5 linked regions of the Cricetulus griseus genome follow. The protein of the gene in region 5 interacts with the protein of the main gene of each other region in a pairwise test. Links are inferred from orthologs where the notes say so. Each region holds a gene or a part of one and is shown on either strand. Other genes may lie near its edges.

Region 1 (4,781 bases), on a different chromosome or scaffold from region 5:
TGATATAGCTCTCTGCTGACTTTGGCCATTTTCCCTTGTAGATAGTATGTAAGATGCTGTACTTCCTAATAAATTTATTTGGCATAAGTCATCAGCTTGTACAAGACCTCCTAGTCCCAGCTATTGCTTTTGTCTTCTTTATCCCTCAATCCCTGACACTCCCACTAAACACCTCACCATTTGGGACCCTTATTCCTGCAGGTTCCGGTTCAAAGCAGTCCACTCCTGTGGAAGTCCCCCCTCCCACGTAGTTCCCAGGCCCACTGTTCCTACCTCAGAGCCAGCAAGCACCCAGCTATTATCTGAGTCTGGGCAGGAGGAGGTCATAGTTGTGGCAGTCCAGGGTTGCTAGAGTGGCCACCTGCAGGGAAAAGCTCTCTTAAGAATTGGAGTCCCTGGGCTGGAGAGATGGCTCAGCAGTTAACAGCACTGGCTAAGGTTCAATTCCCAGCACCCACATGGCAGCTCACAACTGTCTGTAACTCCAGTTCCAGAGGATCTGACACCCTCACTCAGACACACATGCAGGCAAAACACGACACCAATCTACATAAAATAAAAATAAATCTTAAAAATAAATAAATAAAAATTTTTATAGAGGAGGAAGAGGGGAGGGAACTCCCATCAGGGGAGGCAGACAGCAGAAGTAGGACTCCAGGCATCAAAAGCAGGGCAGTAATCTCCAAAACCCAGGCCAGTTCAGTCCTTCTGCCCTAATCCCATGCTTTCCTGGAAGTATTCTTGCTAGAAGCCACAGGGAAGCTGCCTCTTCCAAGGATCCACAGGGCCTTGGGAAACTGCACTGACCTTGAAAGGTCAAAGAGGCCAAAGGCTGAAAAGTCCAACCCCCTGGTGTTCTGGTCAGTGGGGAGGCATCACAGAGAGGCTGACTGACTGGAGAGAGGGAAATAACCTGGGTCCCTTTCACAATACCTGGGTCCTCCATAGTCCCTAGCGTCCTCCCACAGAACCCAAAGAGAAGACCCACCAGTCTCCTTAAGGCCCAAGTGTCCCAGCACCCATCTGTCCATCAACCCTCCACTCTTGGTTTAGGCGAGTGGTTCTCAACCCGTGGGCCACACCCCTCTGTCAGCTATTTATATTACATTCATACAGTAGTAAAATTACACTTAAGAAGTAGCAACAAAATAACTTTATGGCTGGGGGTCACCACAACATGAGGAACTGTATGTATTAAAGGGTCACAGCGTTAGGAAGGTTGAGAACTTCTGGTTTACTGGTTCTCAGCACTGGCTTTGCAAGGCTCAGTTAAGACTGCCATTGACGTGAGTGGAATCAGGCCAGGCAGGAAGCTTTCTGATACTGCAGGGCCCAGCAGGCCTGGGAGAGTTAAGTCCTCCTGGGTGTACATTTAGTCAGGCTCCTTTTCGCTTTCTCTCCACTGTAAATTCTACAGAGTTTGATCTCAGGGATCTTGATCTCAGGGACTGGAGAGAAGGATTTGTGGCGATTACCATCCATAAATCACATTACAATTTACAACAAAAAGGGGTGGGGGACTGGGACTCTGGTCCTGTCCCTTGCTAATCAGCTTGAAGGACAACCAGGGTTAAGGTATGACTCCCCCCCCCCCACACACACACACATTAAGCAAGGCTGTGCCCTTGGGCTATGGAGTTGCATCTGGGATCAGGCATGAGGATGGAGTGACAGACAAGCTGACCCACAGAGTCTTGGACTGTGGTCAGAGACAGAAAAGTCACTGCCTTCCCCGGTAGCAGAAAAGGCAGAAGGTGAAGATGACTGAAGAACACTGAGAAGGGAAAATGGGGTGGGGGAGTCTGGAAGTTCTACCTTCAAAACCAGCCAATGCTTCCTATCTATCTACTCCAGCTAGGGTTAAGCCCTTCATGGTTACCTTATAAACTTCTGTGGCTCTGGCCAGTCAAGATTCAAGTCCAAGATAGGTGATAAAGGACGTCTAATGGTGTCTTTCTGAGTGCCAGTGAGACACCAGCACCCAACCCACAGGGAGACAGAATGATTTCGGTAAGTTCTCTATACCAGGTCCCAAAAAACCTCCCTACGCCCCCCTTCCTCTAGTGACACACACACACACACACACACACACACACACACACACACACAGCCATCCTTGTCCAGCTCTCTGGTCTCACCCCTCCCTCTACTGCCCTGTCCCAATCCCAGCTGCTGTGTGTGACTGTTAACAGGTGACAGGAGGAAGGAAGCAGCAGCAGCTTGAGCAGAAGTCCCCGGTTCATCCCTGGCTGTTTACAGCCTGCTCAGGTCCTCCAGAACTAAGCACCATGGCAACCAGGGTGATGTCAGACCTACTGTCTCCATGGAAACCAGCAATGGTACGGTATTTGGGTCAACAAGACAAACCTTCTGAAACCTAAGCAGCGGACTTCCTGGAACTCCTGCACTCAGGGTCCCAAACCCTGCTACCAGAACGCATCCCTGCTCTCCTAGGCTAGCACATCGATGCCTTATTAGGAAGCCCTCTAAGAAATTGTGCCGCTGCTTAGCTGCCATCCTTCTCAGCTGTGTTTTCAGGACTCTTTGACCTCTAGGAAGAAAACCAGCTCCCTACGCTCCCCTTTTCACTCAAACGGGGTACAACATCTTGTCAGGATTGTCTCTGACTCCTGCTGTTTCTAAAAAACAGTGCTCCTACTCTGCACAAAGCTGTGAAGTCTGGTTTGGTGCACACTTCCCTCTAACAGACTTCTCTGACCTTTAAAGGGAAGGACCTGGGACCACAAGAACTTGCCTGAGTTCCTGCTTCGGATTCATCCGTCTCCCTCCTTCCCCGCCCTTAGGTCCTGTGTTAGGCAGTGTGTGGACCCGGGGCGGGGGCGGGGGGGGGGTGCCCACTCCTTTTATACAGCTCTGCCCTCCTTTTTTATAGGGGGATAAAGTGGGGGTCTGCCGGCCCATTCCAGCTAGGGATTTACCTGACCCAGCTCTCGCTTCTGTCTTCAGTTTAACTTCTTGCAACCTCCCCAGGTTTCCAGCCCAGGAAGGGGAAAAAAAGGGGGGGGAGTCACGTGGCTGGTGTTTGACCAGTGAAAAGTCGCCTTCTCCGCACGGGTGGGAGGGTAGGGGGAACTTTTGACCAATAAAAGGTGGACTTGATCTCCTGGGCGGGGCGCGGGTAGGGGTAGAAGATGTAAGCAGTACTTTCCCTCTTGGTTTATCTCTTGGTGGGCGAATGTGATCCCCAACAAACTAATTTTTTTTTGAGGTGGGGAACCTCGCTCCTTTTCGAAATGTTTAGTGTCTAATAGGAAGATCTAAAACTGAAAGGTGCTGTCTGATGAGATAGCAAGGACCAGGTGCCATGTTGGCCCCAGGATAGACAGAGACAGCTGTAGTATGGGGGATGGGTCCGGTGCTAGTTGTGGGTTTAGAAATAGCACTCCTGCCTTCCTGCGGGCAGACTGAAGGTGCCACTGCTTTGAAAATGGAATGGAGGGCGGCCAAACGTGGTGGTGCACGCCCTTAACTCCAGCTCTTGGGAGGCCGAGACAGGTGTATCTCTATAGTTCGAGATCAGCCAGTTCTACATAGTGAGTTCCGGACCAGCTAGGGCTATATAGTGAGACTCCGCCTCACAAACAAACAGCAACAACAACAAAGAGAGGCCAGCCAGTGGGATGGCTCGGTGCGGTGAAACCTCCACAGGTGCACTGTGCACGTGCCTGCCTTCAACACATTAAAAAAAAAAAAAAAAAAAAGGAGGTGCTATAATCCCTGTGCTAAGAGACTGAAACAAGAGGGTGATTAAGGCCAGTGTTGTGATCTTGTTTAAAGACTCGAGCTAGGGAACGTGAACCAGGAGATACATTAACCATGGAGTTTATTAAGGGGGGGGGAGCGAGAGAGCGAGAGAGAGACAGAGACAGAGAGGAGAGAGAGACAGAGAGACACACACAGAGAGAGAGAGAGAGAGAGAGAGAGAGAGAGAGAGAGAGAGAGAGAGAGAGAGAGAGAGAGAGAGAGAGCGCCAAGAGGGTGTAGTAGAAGAGAGCATAAGTGAGCAGGGGGTCTGTCTTTTAAAGGGGTCCTTTACACCTCCCTGCAGACTTAGTTCTCATGGAACCCTGGGCTGACCAGAGTACTGCCTGAGTGGATTCTGCCAGGTAGCCAGGCCAGCTTTATGCCTGCACCTTTCATTCCCACCTTTTCTTATTATTAAAAAGGTGGGGTGTTAGACATGGCAGGTTAGGGAATAAGGGCGTAGAGTTCTTTTTTTTTTTTTTTTTTTTTTTTTTTTTTTGGTTTTACAAGACAGGGTTTCTCTGTGGCTTTGGAGGCTGTCCTGGAACTAGCTCTTGTAGACCAGGCTGGTCTTGAACTCACAGAGATCCGCCTGCCTCTGCCTCCCGAATGCTGGGATTAAAGGTGTGCACCACCACCGCCGGGCAGGGCATAGAGTTCTTAAGAATGCTTTCTGCTGACCTAGTGGGCGTTGACCATCTTTGGGGGACCTGAGAAAGCTGGGGTGCTGCCATGTCCTGGGCTTCCTGGGGTAACTGTTGCTTCATCACAGCCCAGGCTGTATGGAACTCTGGTGCCTCTGAGACCTGGCAAGATGTTGGCAGAGCAGAGGATAAGGTTAAGTTTAGGAAAAACTTTTTTCTTAGGTCCTGATACTTGAGGGGAGGATTGTAAGATGAGGGAGGGGTTCCCGAGGGGTCCCAAGATGAGGGAAGGGGATTCTCCTACTCTCATGCCCTCTTCTCTTTGCTCTCCTCTCTTCTCTTACACACTCCTCTCTTTGCTCTCTCTTGCCC
Region 2 (4,935 bases), on a different chromosome or scaffold from region 5:
AAGACTGGATAAGGAATGAGGATATAAAGGTCTGGACCAACAAAGCAGGGCATGGAAGAAACTGATGGGCTGACTATGAAGTCTCTGGCAGAGACCAGCCACTAAAATTCCTCTAGTGCTCTCAAATCTGCACCAACTTTTTTTGGGGAAACCAATGAGTGAGGCACAAATCATTAGTTACTGCTCTCTTTCCAGCCTACTCACCTCTTTAGGGTACCCACAGTGTCCTCTGGCCTGGCCACAGCCAGCTCCTCGGTGTCATTGAGGAACTTGAGCCGAACATTGATGAGGCTGGGGCTGGGAGAGAGGCAGGTGCTATCATCTAATCCCAGTGGAGCTTCTGGAGGGCTCTCCAGGCCTGCTTGTCTTTTAGGGAGGCCTTGAATATCCAGGAGATGCTCAAGGCTGGGCTCCGTATCTCCCCTAGCTCCAGGTTCCCCAGTGGAGTCTCCTCCAGTGTCACTGGTCTCTTCAGCCTTCTCATCAGTCCCCTCCGATGGATGGGGGAGTTCAGTCGGTTCTGGAGCGCCTTGGCTTACCAGCTGGTCCACATGCCCCAGGTGGAGAACAGATGGGTCGCCTGCTGACACAATGGTGCCCAGCAGTTGGTTGTTACTGCTGTCTGCTACGTAAGTAGAGAGCCAGGCTAGGACCAAGGCTAGAGTCAGCACTAACACACCTGCCACCACCATCACCTCATTACCCACACCCTCGATGAGGGTGACATCAGAGAGTTCCATGGTTTGGCTGCTGACCGGGTCCACGCTGTAGGAACAAAGGGGGATAGCATCAGCAGGGCCTGAGGGCTTATAATCAGGTTTCTGGTTTGTTTAGGTTCTGAATCATGCGGGAGAGGAAAAGGGGGGGAGGGGAGTTTGTGGTGTTTTTTAGGAGAGGCAGTCAACCTCCCTAACTGTACTAGACCCTCAATCTCAAGCTAAGGACTTACCCTTGGCCTCTATTATGAAAATCTAGCTTTCAGATTCTGCTCCCATAAAGAGCACAGGTCACCAGAAAAGCCTCATAAGCTTGTCACCAGCTGCTAGTTGCTTTTTTTTTAACTTTCAATTTTTATTTTTTTGATACATGGAGAAAGAACATTTGCTTCTTCCCTTCTTTTCAAGAAAAGGTATCTCTGTGTAACCCTGACTATCCTGACTCTAGCCTTGGTCCTAGCCTGTCTCTCTACTTACATAGCAGTTAGTAGACCAAACTAACTTCAAACTCAAGAGATCCACATGTCCCTGTCTCCTGAGTGCTGGGATCAAAGGCGTGCACCACCATACCTGCCTACGTATGTCTCTGTAAGCCTGGAGTTTCTCTAAGATTTCTAACATGGGACTAAAGCACATATGCCCTTTAAGTAGCCTCAACTGTAGTTTCAAAGAATGAAAAGATTCCTTTACAGGCATTGTGCAGCCATCCCTACCAGACTTTCATTTGATTACATCTCATACATGGCCAGAGACCCATGCATGCACAGCTGTCAAAGCCAAAATAAATACCTTGTGATATATCAAGGACAGAATCAGATCACTTCAAGTGGACAAATGTACTGGGACTATCAGCAGACACACGTCTGCTACGAAAGTGTTCTGGCAAATTCTGGGGAGCCACATGGGACAGACACCAGAAACCCTGCCCTCTTGGGTCACCATGGGCTTGGCTCACAACTGTAAAACCACTGCCCCAGCATACACTCCAGTTATCCAGAACTTGGGAGATGAAGGCAGGAGGAAGGGTTCAAGACAAGTCTCCATCACATTGCAAATTCAGCCCTAGACTGCATGAAGCAGCTTAAAAAGAAGAAGAAGAAAAAACAGCCATTGCCCAAGTAGAAATTATTTGGAAAGGTTTTCCAACGAGCTCCCACAATTCTTATTTCATTCTGTCTTGTGCTGTGAAGGTTCTCTCTCTGCAGTTTCTTAGAAAAGCATGGAGGATCTCCGCATATTCCTTGGAGTATCTTCTCTTTTCCCTGGAGAACCTACTTTCACAGCTGTCCCTGAGCAAATCCAACTGGTGATTATCGTTACCAGACTATTCTCACAGCACCCATAAAGCGTCATTACTTATAAACTGTCCATCTCTTCATTGACTTGTGGAAGAATCAAGCGCAGTTCTCTTTGTAAGAAGCTCTCAGAGCAATGCTACAGAAGCTCCTCAATATCTGTGGACATACCGACATTCGAAGTTTTTTTCCCACGGCCTTATTTAACAGATTCGCCCTGGAGTCAGGGAAACAAAGATCGCGGTCTAGTCCCTCTTCTAGCTACGTAACTTCCAACAACTTTCTCAAGCCTCAGCACTGTCATCAGTAAAGCGGGGTTTAAAATGGTACCTACCTCATAAGGTTGTTTTGAAGATGACGTGAAATCATCGAAGCAAAATAATTTAAGACTGTTCGATAAACAAATGATAGCAATTATGTCTCACTCCCACAACCAACCCCTGATGGCAAGGTTAATGTCAGGAATCGTGATTTACACAGGAGGCAACTGTGGCACAGACAGCCGGAAGCCGAGGACGCAGGGGGCCGCAGGGGGCCGCGGGGGGCGTCTGCCTGCTCCCAGGCCTCAGCTTTCTCCTCAGCCTGTGGGCGACCCTGCTGGCTGTTCCCGAGGCGAAGGCTCTGCGCCCGGGAGGTCCTTCCCTGTGGCAGCAGAGCCCATGAGCCCCCACCCCCGGCCGAAGGGCTTCCGGGTCACGGTGGCGGTGCCCAGGCCCAGCTCTCCTGCCCGGGGAAGGTTAGGGTCAGGCGAGGGGGCCACAAACCATCCACACCCCTCAAACTTCGGGGCGGGACAGAGGGACCGGGGGCGGGGCCTGAGGGCGCGGAGAGTCATGGGAAATTGGAGGGTGAGGGGGTTGGACTGGTACTATTCCTGGGTGGGGAAGGAGAGCCTCACCTGACAAAGCCAGGATAAATGTTTTGACTTCGCCAGGACAGTCTCTGCACTCGTCTTTCCGTAGGGGCCGGGGGAGGGGCTGGCAACCCGGGATTCTGTCCAGGGTCCTATCTCTTCCGGCTTTCCTCGGAAGCTGTTAACATGGGGACCGGAAGTCCCGCCTCCCCGCCTTGTACTGATGACGCAAGGCTACGTAAGGCGGACTGACGTAAACGTAACTTTGACTAAAAGGGCCAGGTTGCACAGCGGCAGGAGGGGCGGAGTCATTGTTGGCGGGATTGCGGACCTCGGGCAGTAAGGCCACGCCTCGTGGGCGTGTGCCCGGGCCGTTCAGAGGTCAGAGGCGGGGACAGGAGAGGAGGAGCGGCGCGGGGCGGTGCTTGCGGGAGGGGCGTGGTTTCGTGCCTGGACGATTGTCCTGCCCGGCTCTGCTGGTCCACCCACCTCCAGCTTTCCCTCTTTCCCTCCTTCCGGCTTCTCGAGCTCCGTAACTAAAGGGAGTCGTTACTGTTCCCCTAATGCGCACTGGACGCCAATGTAGGGATCCGGAAGGTCTAGTATTTCGGATTTTTAAGAAAGTTGTTACTGGAGAAGACAGGCAAGAAGACAATTATAGTCTTAAATACTATATAGTGTGGAGCTTTGATAAATAAAGCGGGAAGGCATGTCAGAGAGACATAGATATAGTGCTCTCTTAAAAAGTGATTTGCTTTGATTTATGTGTCTGAAAGTGTATGCCACGTGTGTGTGGTTGCTTGCAGAGGCCACAAGAGGGCACTGGATTCCCTGGAGCTAGAACTGGGAAGAGAGCTCAGATCAGAAAAGAACAGCAAGTGCTCTTAGCCTTTGAACCCTCTCTCCAAGTCTATCACCCTGGATTAACTTTTCCCTTTTTTCTGTTAACTACTCAGTAGAACAGTGGTTCTCAAACTCTGGGTCGCGACCCCTTGGGGTTCCAACGACCTTTTCACAGGGGTTGGATATCAGGTATCCTGCATATCAGATCTTTATATTGCTATTCCAAAAAGTAGAAAATTATAGCTATGAAGTAACAGCGAAAATAATGTTATGGTTGGAGGTCATCCCAACATGAGGAACTGTATTAAAGGGTCGAAGCATTAGGTCACTTTAGAACCATTGTAGCAGAGGAAGACCGTGAACTTCTGATCTTCCTGTCTCTGCCTCCTAAGTGCTGGGATTACAGGCAGGCACCACTGTGAATTTAACTCAGTGTTTACATGGATCTTAACTTGTTGGCCATTTTTTAAATGAAAAAAAAATTTGGAGGGGTTTTCAAGACAGGGTTTCTTTTGTAGCCCTGCTTGTCCTGGAACTCACTCTGTAGGCCAGGCTGGACTTGAACTCACAGAGATCTGTCTGCCTCTGCCTCCCAAGTGCTGGAATCAAAAGTGTGCACCATCATGCCCTGCTGGTCTATTATTATTATTATTATTTTATTTCATCTGGGTGCTAAGGATCAAATTAAGGCCTCATACTTCCACTTACCAAATGAACCATCTTCCCAGCCCTTAGGATGACTGCAAATAACTTTCTTTTCTTTCTTTTTTTTTTTTTTTTTTTGTTTTGTTTTTTTCAAGACAGGGTTTCTCTGTGGCTTTGGACGCTGTCCTGGAACTAGCTCTTATAGAACTAGCTGGTCTCGAACTCACAGAGATCCGCCTGCCTCTGCCTCCCGAGTGCTGGGACTAAAGGCATGCACCACCACACTAGTATTTTTCTTTTACCTGTTTATTGTATAGTCTTTATAACACAAACCTAGGATTTGGGAGGATGGTTCAGTGATTGCTGCTCTTCCAAAGGATCTGAGTTTGATTCTGAAAACCACCTGTAACTGGCTCCAGGGTATTCTATGCTGTCTTCTGGTCTCTGTAGGTCTCCCCCACCTTACGCGCACACACACGTAACTAAATTGTAAAGTAAAAACACCCCTAAATTCTGTTCTTTTAATATTTCATGCTCTTTGTAACTGAAAAATCTTTGCCTATCACAAAATCAATACACATAG
Region 3 (4,893 bases), on a different chromosome or scaffold from region 5:
TGGAGGAGGAGGAGATGTGATTATATATAACCTTAAAATATGCAACTTGACTTTGGAAATCAGTATGGTGACTCCTCAAGAAAATGGGAATCAGTCTACCACAAGATCCAGCAATTCCACTCCTAGGCATATACCCAAAAGAAGCACATTCATATAACAAGGACATCTGTTCAACGATGTTCATAGCAGCACTATTTGTAATAGCCAGAAACTGGAAGCAGCCTAGATGCCCCTCAACTGAAGAATGGATAGAGAAAATGTGGTACATTTACACAATGGAGTACTACTCAGCAGAAAAAAAAAACAATGGAATCTTGAAATTTGCAGGAAAATGGATGGAACTAGAAGAAACCATTCTGAGTGAGGTAACCCAATCACAAAAAGACAAACATGATATGTACTCACTCATATGTGGATTTTAGACATAGAGTAAAGGATTACCAGCCTCCAATCCACACTGCCAGAGAAACCAGTAAACAAGGAGAACTCTAAAAGAGACAAACATTGTCCACTGGAGAAGGGGAAAGGGTCACAATCCCCTGAACAAATTGAGAGCATGGGAAGAGGGGGGAGGGAGCTACGAGAATGAGAAGGGAAGAAGAGGAAGGGTGCAGAGATCATGAGGGAGCAGAAAGGTTGAGTCAGGTGAAGAAAAGAAGAAAGGGTATGTGGTAGGTAGGGTTTTAGTTGGGGAGTGGTAGGGGAGGAAGGGAGGGAGAAGGGAACTGGGACTTTCATGTAATTCAATCTTGTTTCTAATTCAAATAAAAATGATAAAAAGAAAACAAAAAAAATGAGGCATCCTCCTTAAGATTGATGGAGGAAAGAAGCCTTCGTGTCAGAGGAAACAAGTGACAAAAGATGCCTCTTTGAGACCAGGCCACTCATCAGAGATTGGGGTAGATAGATATGGAGGGATTGAAACACATTAAGTCTAAACGAATAGAAGAAGGAAAAAGATCCTGATGTTGGCAGTATAATTAATAGGCTCCCCTTCATTCATTTAGATTCATTCTCGCATACAGACAAAATGTGATAGTCTCCATAATGCACTTCCAAAACCTTCTAGGAAAATCTAGGGCCCAGGTGCACTGGCCTTTCCACTTCAGCTGTGTTTGGCAGCCCAGGAGCAGGGGACCGGCCAGCCTTTGCATCATTCATGGGTTAAGCACCTGAAGTACCTCCTGGCACAGAGTACAGAACCACTCAGCCAGCTGTCAAAGGAATAGGCCCCTCCTCACCTGGCCAGGTAGCTGATTGCCAGCTGTACCCTGCTTCCCACTTCTCCCCACAAGCAGAGAGCAGGAAGTTTAGCAGATTCCTTGGAGGATGCATTGGAAGGAGCAAGTCAACCTGCAAACCTGCTGCCTTGGGCTCCTTGAGAGTGTTGAGTGGAGCTGAAGCAGAGAGGCCCCAGACTTCCATGGTTGGTCCATCCCCATTCAGGTCCTTCTCAATGCATCCTGTCCATTTCCTGCTCAGGAAAATCCTTGAGGATTTTCGGACCTGGAGGGAAAAGTCCCTAGGGACCAGCATTAGAAAGAAGGCAATCACACGAGATTGACAAGAGTAGAGAGCACAGAAGGAAAAGCTGTTCTTGTCCAGAGCTCGAGAAGGGAGGGGGAGGGCGGTGGAGCCCTGGTTACTTTGCTGAAGGCTGCGGAGCTAGCACAGCCATAAGGCGACGGGGAAGAGAGAGAGCTAGCTAGCGGGGACGACCAGGCGCCCGCTTGGGGGAAGGGAGGCGGCGGCTCAGTGGGCCTCGGGGTGTATGTGTCAGTGCCTGTGAGTGTGAGCGTGGTGTGTTTGTGTGTGTGTGTGTGTGTGTGTGTGTGTGTGTGTGTGTGTGTGTGTGTGTGTGTGTGTCTGGCAGAGGGCCAGGGTGATTTCCCATAAACCACATGCCCCGCCAGCCCGCCCGCTTAAAAGGCTGTGCCGAGGGCTGGCCAGCTAAGCTCGGCCAGAGGAAAGTGAAAGTTTGCCTCGGTGCTCTCCGTGTTGCTGCGGCTTTCTGCATCCCGGGACAGCGGCGTGGCCCTCGGTCGGGGTGCAAGCTCTCCAACCAGCAGCGATCGAGGGAGCGAGCGAACTAGAGCGGCAAACACGCCGGACCGGGACCCAGCTGCCCGTATGACCGCGCGGGGCGCCGCGGGGCGCTGCCCTTCATCGGTAAGCTGCGACCACGGAGCGGGGCCCGGCCCCGCTCGGGCCGGGCTAGGGCGGGAGCTCTGCAGCAGTGGCGGCTCGGCGCGGCAGCTCAGGCATCTCGGCCCTAGCATCAGACTTCCTAACCGCTTCTGCGCTAGGGCTGAGGCCCGCTGTAGTTCAGCAGCTGCTCTTGGGGCTACAGCGCTTTGCGGGGTAAGGGGAAGGCTGCTCACCCCATTGAACGGAGAAGAAAATTGAGCCACCCACAGGCAGGAGAGAGAGAAGTTTGCAGCAATTGGCACAGGCCCAGTGTCTGCCAGGATGATCGGCCCGTCTCCAGGCACCGAGTGACAGACCAGAGTGTGGCATCATCCCCAGTGGGCATCTTCCTCTGGTTGTTGCACATGTTTCTAGACCCTAACTGGGAGTGGGCCTTCTGGGAAGGGAAAATTTAGGGTCACTCAGCTTTAGAATGCCAGGACTTGTGCTAAGCAACCTGTTGTCAAAAGAAAAAATGGTCATGCTGTTACTTGCTGCAGTCTATGGGCAAGCGCTGTTAGGGACTTGGATGGCTGTTTGAGGGGAATGGGACCCCAGGAATGGCCTGAAGCTAACCCAGAAAAATTTGGTTCAATGAGATGGGGCTATTCTGGGCTCAACTGCTGATTGAGGAGAGTGGAATGAGAGTTCACAGATGCAGAGCTGCTGGTGGGTTGCCAGAAGTTTCCCCATGAGTGGCAGTAGATGATGCTGTGGCTCCTGGAGAGTGCAGGGTGGCACTTCCGACCAACAGCAAGACAGTTTGCTTCTGAGAAGAGTGATGGGGAAAGCCTAGAGGGCAAGAGCAAAACATCTGATGGGCAGGGGAGGGTTGCAGGTGTTTGAGAGAGAAAGTAGATCCCCTGGGAGGGAGGGCCCTGAGAGGCAGGAGATGGGGTGAGGAGGGGAAGGAAGGGTTATAACACAAACAATAAGTAAAAAGAAGGGCTAATGAGAAGGGAAAACAAGGGGAAAGAAGGCCAGAATTAGACAAGATCAGTCAGAGGGCCCAATCATGCCAGGTCTCTACAGAGACCTTACTGATTGGGAAATGGAACGTGATGTCTTGAAGCATTCTGAGACTGCAGCAGTTTCCTTCCAGGGCTGCTCTTATAGTCAGAGGCTGAAGCAGTGGGTGGGAGGAAGAAGCAAGCCAGGAAGAGCCTGTCCAGCCAGATGTAAGCTGGAGTATTAACCCTTGGGTGCCCATCTGTATCCTTGTCTATGGTAGCATTAGGGTTACAGATCTAGGAGTGGCCCTCTTTGGTCATCTTTGAAGTTAGCCTCTTATCTGGTAACTGTGCATTATTCCTGTGCATGATTGAAGTGCCACCAAAAGCCAAGTATCCCAGAGTAATCTCTTCACCTTGCTATCCTCAAACATCAATGCCTTGAGGTGCCAGGATTGAGGTCTTCCTGAATATCTCCATGCCCAGGACCTTTTCTCCATACCATGTACACCATGAGCTGCCAGCCTGAGTGACAACCAGCTTGGGCCAGTTATCTTCTGCACAGTAGTTTCCTTTCTAGGTCCTAAGTGTGAGGTTCTGAAGATTTGGGATGCTGCTATTCAGGGCTAACTTTCCAATTGCCCAACAGTGCCCAACACAGTATCATCCCTTGGCTGCTGCACCTTCTTCCACACTCTTCCTCTGAGTGTGGAAGCCAGGGCCCTAACCAACCCCATGCTTAATGGCATTGGGCAACCCTGTGCCTCTTCTCTCAACCCCTATCTCTGTCTGCCACCCGTTAAGGCCTCGCTGAAGTCCCTCTTCCCTCATCACTGGCCAGCCAATGCTGCCTTTTCTCCCTGGTACACACTGCCAAGGCTTTGGGCATTTAGATTTAAACCAGTGTTGTTGTGGACTGTTTCATAGCCTCCCTGTGCTTTTTCAATGTGCTCCTATTTTCAGGATTTGTCTCATCATCTGGACTATTGGGGCAGAGCCCAGATCTAGGAAGGTGCCAGCCATCACTCCACCCTGCCAGCATTTCCCTGAATTGGGGACATCAGCTGCCAGGATGCTCAGGAGCTCCTAGGAGGCAGCCTCAGACCAGGGGAAGGAAGCCCAAGAGCTCCCCGCCTGAGGCTGGTATCCCTGAGATGCCCTATTGGAGTTGTAGGGATGAAAGGATCTTGGGGAGGAGGAAGGGAGAAAGGAGAAAGGAAGGACCAAGTCAAGTGTTAGGAACTCTAGGGATGAGCAGCTGCTGGTCCAGGTGGGTGCTGACAAAAAAGAGAGAACTTCCTTGCTGTGGCAAGAGTTTGCTGACTAGATGAACCATCAGATAGGCAAATATCATCAGTGAAACACAGCATTATCTTTGATTAGTCCATTGGAATGCAAGTCCAAGGCTCCAGGAGGTCTCCTACTTGGGTTGTGTTCCCAGTGAAATGGAGTTTGATCCCAGTGTTTCCCCCTGTTGAGCCAGACTTGTGGAACCAGGTGGGAAGGGAGGCAGGACCCAGGGTCAATGTTTCTGGCTTGCAGTCTGAAAGGTAGTGTCTGATCACAAACTTGAAGCCAGCTTGCAAGGAATTTGTCTCAGCATTAAAGCTGAAAGGACAGAAAACTCTACCCCAAGGAGTTTCTCGGTATACAGACTGACACACCACTAGTGTTATCATTAGAAATTCTCTGTAGACTGGGGAGATGGCTCAGCATTTTTGTTTGTTTTTGTTTTGTTGTTGTTGTTGTTTGAGAC
Region 4 (4,039 bases), on a different chromosome or scaffold from region 5:
ATTTTGAGAGAGCTAAGTTAGGAACACCCAGGCTTGGAGTCAAATGAAGAGATAGAGGCTAAGGCAAGTCCTTAGGCCAAACTTTAGAAGTTAGGTGGATTCTGGAAAGAAGAAAGGAGAATTCTCCCACCACAAACAGCAAGTGACATCATGCCAATTGAATAAGGTGACATTTGGGGGCAGGAAAGCAGTTTCCCAAGGCAAGGAGCAGAGGGGAGCTGGAGAGTGAGTTTTGGCAAGTTGGTACAACCAAGCCTTACCCTAGCCTCTGAAGTCCTATTAGGAAAAATTTTCAGGGGCTGTCCTTGGGAAGAGTTGGTGCAGGCAGAATTTTGTCTCTTTTTGATGGCATAAAGAAAAGCCCATAGCACATCTCATCCTTATTCTCCCATTTCCTTAGATTAACGTTCAACAGTAGCCAGATACAGCCAGGCATGGTGGCTCACCCCTTTTATCCCAGCACTCCAGAGGCAGAGACAGGCAGACTCTGCGAGTTCAGCCTGGTCTACATAGTGAGTTCCAGGACGTAGAGAGATCCTGTCTCAAAATGTTTTTAATTGAATATTTTAAAAAGTCCAGAAATAAGTTTCACACATTTTTATTAGAATTAGGATGTGGACAAACACCATCTTTAGTCATATCCTTTTATTAAGCTATTTGCATGTTTGCATGGGGCTTGGTGATAAGAGGGTTCTCACACCCACACAGACCCGCTGCCAGAGAGTAGGTGGGTTTCAGCAAGTGTTGCAGTGGCTAGGGTAGACATCCCAGTGTAGGCTAATGGCATCGATGACAGAGCCAGATCGGCCACTAATGAAACGAAGGACGGTGTTGGGGTGTAAGGGAATGGCGTTGAAACTTGTGCCTGAGTCTTTCCCAAAAGGCAGGTAGCGGCCTTTGTCTGTCACGAAGATCAGCTGCTTCAGGTAATACCTGTACTTCCCAGACACCTGGATCACAGACTCCCCGGGGTGCAGAAAGATCTCCTCCAGGTCTCCCTGCTTGCCACCCACATACTCACTCCACACTGTGCCATAGCGCACCTGGAGACTGGGGGCAGGGGTGGGAAGGAAGAAGGAACACGTGGAACATGGTTATTACAATTCAAGACTGGAATGGAGAGATGGCTCGGCTGGTAAAGGTGCCTGCTGCCAAGCCTGACCACACGGGTTCCACCCCTAGGTCCCACGTGGTGGAGGGGGAGAACCCACTCACAGAAGATTCCCTCTGGCCTCCACATGTACGGTGGGGCACCTGGGCACCCCCACATATCATGCACACACAAACATAAAATAAACTATATATATATATATATATATTATATATATATATATATATCTTCTTAGTCTATATGCTGTATCTTCAAACTGGTGACAAGTTCCATGAGATACAAAGACTGCGTGAGCCTTAGAAGACCATGCAGAGAATCTCGGCTTCTCATTTTGCTGGCATATTGGCTTGTGGAACTCAGTCACCCAGACAGCCAGAGTCTGAGCTCACCGCCAACACAAACTTCAAAGAAGCCCAAGGATTTTCAAACACTGGAAAGTGTCCCAGGCAAGACAGAGGAGAGACGAACCAGCACGGTGTCACAGTTCAGAACTTAGACTAGAAGGAAATGCATTTGGCTCTGCATTTGATGGAAGTTTCCAGCTGGAGGAAGGGATGGGACTACCCCAGGACAGACAACAAGCACAGGTAAAGTATGCCCGACAGAAATATGGGAAAGAGGTTTAGACCTCAGGTGAAATCCAACCCAGGTAATGTGAGACCCCTGAGAGTTTGTGATTGTTGACTTGCCAAGGTCATGTGTATTAGGGGACTAGAATAGCACAGATCTAGACTCCAGGTGTTCCAACACATTACTGTGACTTACCGATTTAAACAGGTGTGATCCAGAGTGAATGAGACTTTCCCAACCTAGTAAGGTCCCAGACAGTTCCCAAACCACAGAAACATGAAGACTCTCACCCTACTATGTAACGTGAATTGACTCGGATACGGATGGCAGTGATGGGGCCGTCCAGCTGGTTGCCAGAATGAGAGAATCGCTTTCCTCCTTTACCTCCATACTCCCCACTGTAAGAGGAGGACCTGGACTGAACTAGAGGAGAAAGAAAGGCCTGGAGGGACAGATACTCTGGGAGCACAGCTGCTCTCCACTACCCCCATTTCCCCCACCACCCCAAACCAGTATCAGGCAGCCCTGACCAGCATCAGCAGTACATGGGCTGCCTTCTCATTATCCCATTACCAGGTCAGTGGCATTTCACTTACTGGCATTGCCAGAGGCCGAGGCACAAAGAAGGGCTAAGAGAATGATGGCCAGCATTCTGAGGCTGCAGTGGGAAGAGGGAGAAAAGGAAGGCTCATTGCTTTCTGGATTTCATTTACCCAGGCATCTCTGGCTGGGAATACAGACCCATGTCATGGTGATATTTCAATTCAGATCTAAGAGACCTACAAAACTGCCCAGGGATAGTCCTGTTCCTTTCAGATATTATTTTCCAGGCCCCTAATCCCTCCGGTTCTCCCTGTTCTGACCGTACCTAACTAACCCTTCTTTCCCAATCCAAAAAGATAATCCAAACTTTCCGTCTGTGTTAAACTGAGTCAAGCCTCCCTTCATGCAGGCACAAAGCACGAGAGAGTTTTCTGAAGAGGAAGTAAAGGTCACCCCCAAAATATTGAGGCAGTTGAACTGATGATCCAAGAATCAGAGCAAAACCTCCCTGAAATCAAATGGTTGATGAGCTGTCTGAGGCACAGTTAAAGCTCTAGCATCACTCTACTCTTAAATCAAGGCAAAGAACATTTTCAAGGTGCCTCTGTATCACCTCAAGAGCAAAGGACAATAGAAGACAGTTCGCCAATGTCCAGGGAGCACTGGCGGAACTGAGCGAGGCGAAGAGATTTTAGGAGCAGCTTGCACGAGCTCAGACATCAGTTCTCAAGCAACTTGTCTGTGTGTCATAACCCTGTCTCCCACAGCTAAGCCTGTCCATATTCACCCCCCTTAGCCAAAACCAGACACCTTTGCACCCCAAAATAGCTCCCATCCAGGAGCTGCTGCCTGCGTCTGCCCTGCTACAGTCCAGGCATTGTCTTTCCTAGCTCAGATTTGGAGGTCTTCCCCCAACTCACCTTTCCCCTAGCAGTTTCAGGTGCAAATCTTCTAGAAATTCCCAGACCTTTTATACCAGGTCCAAGCCCTCCCACTGTTCTTTATTATGTGAACCTCACCTGCTGAGCAAACATGACCAACCTCCTAGGGTCAGGTGTTGAGCAGGGTCTGGAACACCTTATCCCGCCTCTCCCGCTACGGTTACAGGTGGCAAGGTGGGGTCCACTCTAGACAAAGTGCAGATTTGTGAAGAGATGTAATAAATTTTCTTAAAGTCCAACTGAAGGGCAGGAAAAGCAGCTAGAATCTAAAGAGAATAATTAATTCAGACATGGTGGCTCATGTGTGTAACACCAACATTTGGGGCGAGGCAAGAGGATCATGAGTTCAAGGCCAGTCTGGGCTACAGTATGAGACCCTGTCTGAAAACACAGACAAGCAAATGAGAATGTAATCCTAGAGGCCTGGAGGAATGTTCTCCCTACCCTAAATGATCTGAAGGTATTCTTGCCTGAGACCTGCCTTCTGTTGGGTAAATGTTGCGCTCTCCAGGTGTTTGTAATAGGTCTTCTCCCAGAATATAAAAGCACTTTTAACACATTGAGTGGTGCCAAATATTTGCTTGACAATTTTTCTCTACTTGTTGACATTTTATTATGAAAAAGACGATCATAAAGTTTAAAAAATTGTATAGCCAACACTTATATCACAAAGTGTGCTGTGGTTAATATTTTGCTGTGCCTGGGTTGTCTGTCCTGTATGCTCACATCTATCCATTCTCAGTCCAGACCCTTCAAAAGTCTTTTCCTTCTAAATCTGTTGGTTCCCCATCTCTTCTTCCAGAAAAGCCAGTCCAATGGGCATGTGGGAAGCTGAGAATACACAAGTTTTCCTCCGTGAGGTGGTCTGGACTTT
Region 5 (4,235 bases):
AACCCAGTAGCCTGTGCCCAGCTCTAACCCAGAGGTCCCCATGGGAACCATATCTGAAGGGCCTTGCTGTTGTCTCCTGTGTGCCAGGACAGACTGGCCCTCCAAGCTATAGTATGTTAGTCATCAGGTCAATGGGACTGATACCACAGGCCAAGTGTCATCCTTGTCTCTTTATTACCCAGGTGGTCTGTGCCCAGGTGGGCGTTGCTGCCACCTGTAAGCGGACGGCACTGGCCAAGGGGCCCATCTTCCTACTGGCTACCTATAACACACCAGGCTGACACTACCTGCCACACAGTCTGACGCCATCATGACCCACTGCTGGGTCAGCTGTCCCGTCATCTCGCCTCCCCACCATCTCCAAGTGCTGAGAGTGGGTGTGGGGATACCCACATGGCCTCACTCACTGGACAGAGCCACTCCTCATCAAAAATGGTTCTGGTGGCTGTTTCGGGGCTGAGAACATGGCCTGTGGGCCAATACTCCAAAACTGCCTGCCAACCGCAGACGTCGAATTCCCATGAAATTGAAGACAGAAGGGCAAGTATGGGCCAGGGTGGCCACGTCTTCTGCCCACGCTGAGAATGGAGCCGGACTGCACACAAAATTAGGACTGGCTGATGGCTGTGGAGACGGGAGGGAAGGTGGGGAAGGAGACACGGACGTCCACAAGTGGGGCACAAGTCACAGGCCTCTCCTGTGTGGCATAGGCCACTGGGATAAGGCAGGCAGGGGCACTTGCTAGGACCAGCAACCCAAGTGTGGGCGCAAAACGCTGGCACCCAGCTGGGGCTGGCAGTGGATGCTTACCAGGGGGCTGAGAGTCAACTATTCAAGTCTCTTTAACCAGGCGGGGTGGGGCTTGAGACCCAAAGACCCAGGCTATGCCCCGTGGATCCCTGTGTCCCCCACCCCTCAGCTTCCCTAGGTGCTGGAGGAATGGGTGCTGGTGCGTAGCTGTCTGGCTGACTCTCTTCCAGGAAGGGGTGGGGCCAGCACGAATACAAACATGGAAGTGGGGGTGAAGAGAAACAGCGGATGAGTCCGTCTTAACATGCAGGTCCAGTCTCTTTCTTGGGCAGCCCGACGGAGAAAAGGCTAAAACACCAGGAGGCCAAAGATCGATGGGATCACCACACAGATGAGCTGTGAACAGAAGCCAGGACAGTGAGAGCCATGACCAGACTAGAGCCCAGTGAGGGAGGACAGACAGGACACCCAGGGGTACTGTAGCTTCCGAGAAACCATCAGTGGCTGAGGAGACACACACCTGACACCCAACACTCTTGAACCAAAGCCAAACATGAACACGGGGACTGGTGGATGCTCAGCCTGTGAAGCGCTGACTTCGACATCTGGGGCCCTGCCTTCAGTCCCCAGAAGCCATGCCTTCAGTCAAGCACTTTGGCTTGTGCCTGCAAGCCCAGGGGTGGAGCTGGGAACTTGCCAGCCATGTAGGGATCTTGGAGAACTTAATGAAACCCAGGCCAGTGATAGCCCTAAAGTTTGGGGTCCGGGCCAGCACCTGAGGTTGGCTATGTGTATGCCTAAGGCATACACAAACGCCATGGATAAAGGAGTAAAAAGGGGGCTGGGGACATGGTCAGGGTGTAGCCTGCCCAGAACCCCCCAGTAAGGGGGTTGAGGGCGTGGTAGGGTGTAGCCCCTTGCAGAGAACAAGGCCCTAGGTTCATCTGCACTACTTTGATAAAAAAAATGACGAAAAGGCAGAAGTTAGATTCTATACAGGTGTCAGTGGCAGCTCTGGACACATACACTCCATGCCATGGAGACAGGAAATGGACTTCTCATGGGTAGTGACAAGCAAGGACAGGACTGCCCCATAGTCGGCCCAGGCAGCACCGGCGGCTTTACCGTCACTCTTGCTGCTCCTCATGGCTGGCACTGGGTGTCCGGCTGCGCACCACCTGGCTCCGGATCTGCTCCACGAACTCCGGGTTCTGCTGCTGCATCTGCTGTGCAAACTGCTGGCCCCTGTGGGTGCCCAGGACACTGACTGTGCCCTCTCCTCCTGCTGTGACCCCTCCTCATGCCTCCCTCCACCTGCTCACCTCTGGGATGTGCATGCCAGCCCCCCGCCCCCTTCCTGCTATTCCCCTTGCTCACGCCTGGGATGCCAGTTGCCCCCAACCCCACCACAACCTGCAGCAACACTCACGCCTGGATGAGGCTGGCCAAGTCACTCTGTGATGAACTGCTGCCTGGGGTACCCAAGGGGTTATGGCCACCAGAGATCATGCCTGACATCCTGCAGAAGAAAGGACTGAGCACACGGCCTTGGCAGCCACTGCCCTCTGTCTCCCAGGACCCGCAGACAACTCCTGGTCAGGTGAGAGGGCAGTTCCCATGTCCCCTTCCTCTCAGACTCTAAGCTGAGTCAAATGTTTGTCATTGCTGACAGTGTAGGGAGATGACAGGAAGTGCAATAGACCTTAGACACCCTCTGGAGAACAAGTCAGCAGCAGAAACACACACAGTGACAAGGGTGAAAAAGTCCTGTGGAGTTGGAGTACAAAATCAGCCCCTGCCATTCCTCAGCAAGACAGAGCTGACTCTGGGCTCCGACTTGGTGTGCTCACAGCAGCACACCTGACAGTGGTCAGAACAAATGGCTTGTGACACGCTCAGTTATCACCCAGCCCCAATAGGAGGCTCTGGCACACACCACAGCACAAAGGAACCCCAAGGACTCTATGTTAATTCCAGAGCCAGACCAGAAAGGCCCAAATAAGACTCTATGATGGGAGGGGTTAGAGAGATGGCTGAGGGGTTAAAAGCACTGACTGTGCTTCCAGAGGTTCTGAGTTCAATTCCCAGCGACCATGTGGTGACTCACAACCTTCCGTTATGAGATCTGGTGCCCTCTTCTGGCCTGCAGGCATGTAGGCAGACAGAATACTGTACATATATACCTTTTAAAAAAAAAGACTCTATGGTGGGAAATGTCCACAAAAGGCCAACATAGAGATGGGAGGTAAATTTGTGGGTGCTGAGCTTTGGGGAGGGAACGGGGTGATGGCTCACGGGGATGGAAAGCTCTTTAAATAGAATTTAAAGAGCAGGTGCATGACAACGCAATAGTGTATGATGCCAGCCGGTTTCCTGGTTAAAGATCAACTCTCGGCAACACGTCACACTTCATCAAGCACCATGAGTTCAAGGTCATTCGGTCTACATCAAGAGTTACAGGAGAAAGAAAGAAAGAGAGAGAGAGAGAGAGAGGGAGAGAGAGAGAGAGAAATTCCAGGACAGTTGGAGCTGCTCATGGGACCCAGCCTCAAAAGGTAAATGTTGAGCTGGGCATTGGTGGCGCACGCCTTTAATCCCAGCACTCAGGAGGCAGAGCCAGGTGGATCTCTGTGAGTTCGAGACCAGCATGGTCTACAAGAGTGAGTCCCAGGATAGGCTCCAAAGCCACAGAGAAACCATGTCTTGCAAATCAAAAAACAATAATAAGGGATGGAGAGATGGTTCACGGTTGGAACACTGGCTGCTCATAAAAGACCTGGGTTCTGTCTGAGCACCTGCATGACAGCTCACTACCATCTATAACTTCAGTTCCTGGACATCCGACACCCTGTTCTGGCTTTATTGGGCCTCACACACATGTGAACAGAAATACATGCAGGCAATACACATACAATAAAAATTAGAAAAGCAAGAAGACTACTGTCCCTTGTATTCAGTGTTACTCACAGCTGCTGCAGTTGGGGACTGTTCATTAAGCTGGAAGCCTGAAGAGGAAAGGCAGACAGATCAGGAGAGGCTGAGCCTTGGCCACACTGACCCCCCTAAAGCACACACCTCCTGGTGGCTGTGCTGGCTCCCTCCTATTGGCTCCCACTGACATGAGTTCCTTATTTGCAGTGCTAGTCCTCATGCAGCCCAGGTCACCACAGAGCCATGACAGTGTCAGGGTATATATATATATAATTTAGGACTGCTCTGGAACTTTTTTTCCATCCTCCTGTCTCAGCAACCCACTGCTTGGCTCTTAGGGATGCACCATCATGCCCAGTAGAGTTGAGTCTTTCAGGGTCAAAACCACTGCTCAACCCCAAATAGCCATGTTTGCCCTCTGGAGACCCCTAGACTGAGCAAACAAAGCTTTAGTCACAAAGTGTGGCTGGCAGGAGGGTAGGGCACAGCCCAGAGTCAGAGTGGTCTATGGCAGTCCTACCCCAGAAGTGACACATTCAGCAAAGACATTATTC

The links.
Region 1: the proteins of Sgta (region 5) and Pbxip1 interact in binary tests that used the Homo sapiens proteins (3 or more experiments, as listed by UniProt). The two-hybrid records come from large-scale screens. The link is inferred for Cricetulus griseus from reciprocal best matches to the Homo sapiens genes SGTA and PBXIP1.
Region 2: the proteins of Sgta (region 5) and Tmub2 interact in binary tests that used the Homo sapiens proteins (3 or more experiments, as listed by UniProt). The two-hybrid records come from large-scale screens. The link is inferred for Cricetulus griseus from reciprocal best matches to the Homo sapiens genes SGTA and TMUB2.
Region 3: the proteins of Sgta (region 5) and Csf1 interact in binary tests that used the Homo sapiens proteins (3 or more experiments, as listed by UniProt). The two-hybrid records come from large-scale screens. The link is inferred for Cricetulus griseus from reciprocal best matches to the Homo sapiens genes SGTA and CSF1.
Region 4: the proteins of Sgta (region 5) and Zg16 interact in binary tests that used the Homo sapiens proteins (3 or more experiments, as listed by UniProt). The two-hybrid records come from large-scale screens. The link is inferred for Cricetulus griseus from reciprocal best matches to the Homo sapiens genes SGTA and ZG16.

What each region holds. Positions count from the first base shown.
Region 1 is NW_023276806.1:65,108,589-65,113,369, forward strand, and holds the start of Pbxip1 (pre-B-cell leukemia transcription factor-interacting protein 1), read right to left. Parts: upstream 3,035-4,781; 5' UTR 2,940-3,034; intron 1,957-2,939; exon of another isoform or gene 1,880-1,956; intron 362-1,879; 5' UTR 328-361; coding exon 274-327; intron 1-273. UniProt on the Homo sapiens protein: Regulator of pre-B-cell leukemia transcription factors (BPXs) function. Inhibits the binding of PBX1-HOX complex to DNA and blocks the transcriptional activity of E2A-PBX1.
Region 2 is NC_048600.1:115,815,376-115,820,310, forward strand, and holds the start of Tmub2 (transmembrane and ubiquitin-like domain-containing protein 2), read right to left. Parts: upstream 3,035-4,935; 5' UTR 2,910-3,034; intron 2,401-2,909; 5' UTR 2,381-2,400; coding exon 2,346-2,380; intron 766-2,345; coding exon 205-765; intron 1-204.
Region 3 is NW_023276806.1:49,399,521-49,404,413, forward strand, and holds the start of Csf1 (macrophage colony-stimulating factor 1), read left to right. Parts: upstream 1-1,859; 5' UTR 1,860-2,130; coding exon 2,131-2,169; intron 2,170-4,893. UniProt on the Homo sapiens protein: Cytokine that plays an essential role in the regulation of survival, proliferation and differentiation of hematopoietic precursor cells, especially mononuclear phagocytes, such as macrophages and monocytes.
Region 4 is NC_048596.1:73,700,236-73,704,274, reverse strand, and holds Zg16 (zymogen granule membrane protein 16), read right to left. Parts: upstream 2,333-4,039; coding exon 2,278-2,332; intron 2,105-2,277; coding exon 1,972-2,104; intron 1,051-1,971; coding exon 735-1,050; downstream 1-734. UniProt on the Homo sapiens protein: May play a role in protein trafficking. May act as a linker molecule between the submembranous matrix on the luminal side of zymogen granule membrane (ZGM) and aggregated secretory proteins during granule formation in the TGN.
Region 5 is NC_048598.1:101,827,924-101,832,158, forward strand, and holds the end of Sgta (small glutamine-rich tetratricopeptide repeat-containing protein alpha), read right to left. Parts: intron 3,756-4,235; coding exon 3,718-3,755; intron 2,270-3,717; coding exon 2,180-2,269; intron 1,996-2,179; coding exon 1,878-1,995; 3' UTR 1,876-1,877; intron 1,147-1,875; 3' UTR 152-1,146; downstream 1-151. UniProt on the Homo sapiens protein: Co-chaperone that binds misfolded and hydrophobic patches-containing client proteins in the cytosol. Mediates their targeting to the endoplasmic reticulum but also regulates their sorting to the proteasome when targeting fails.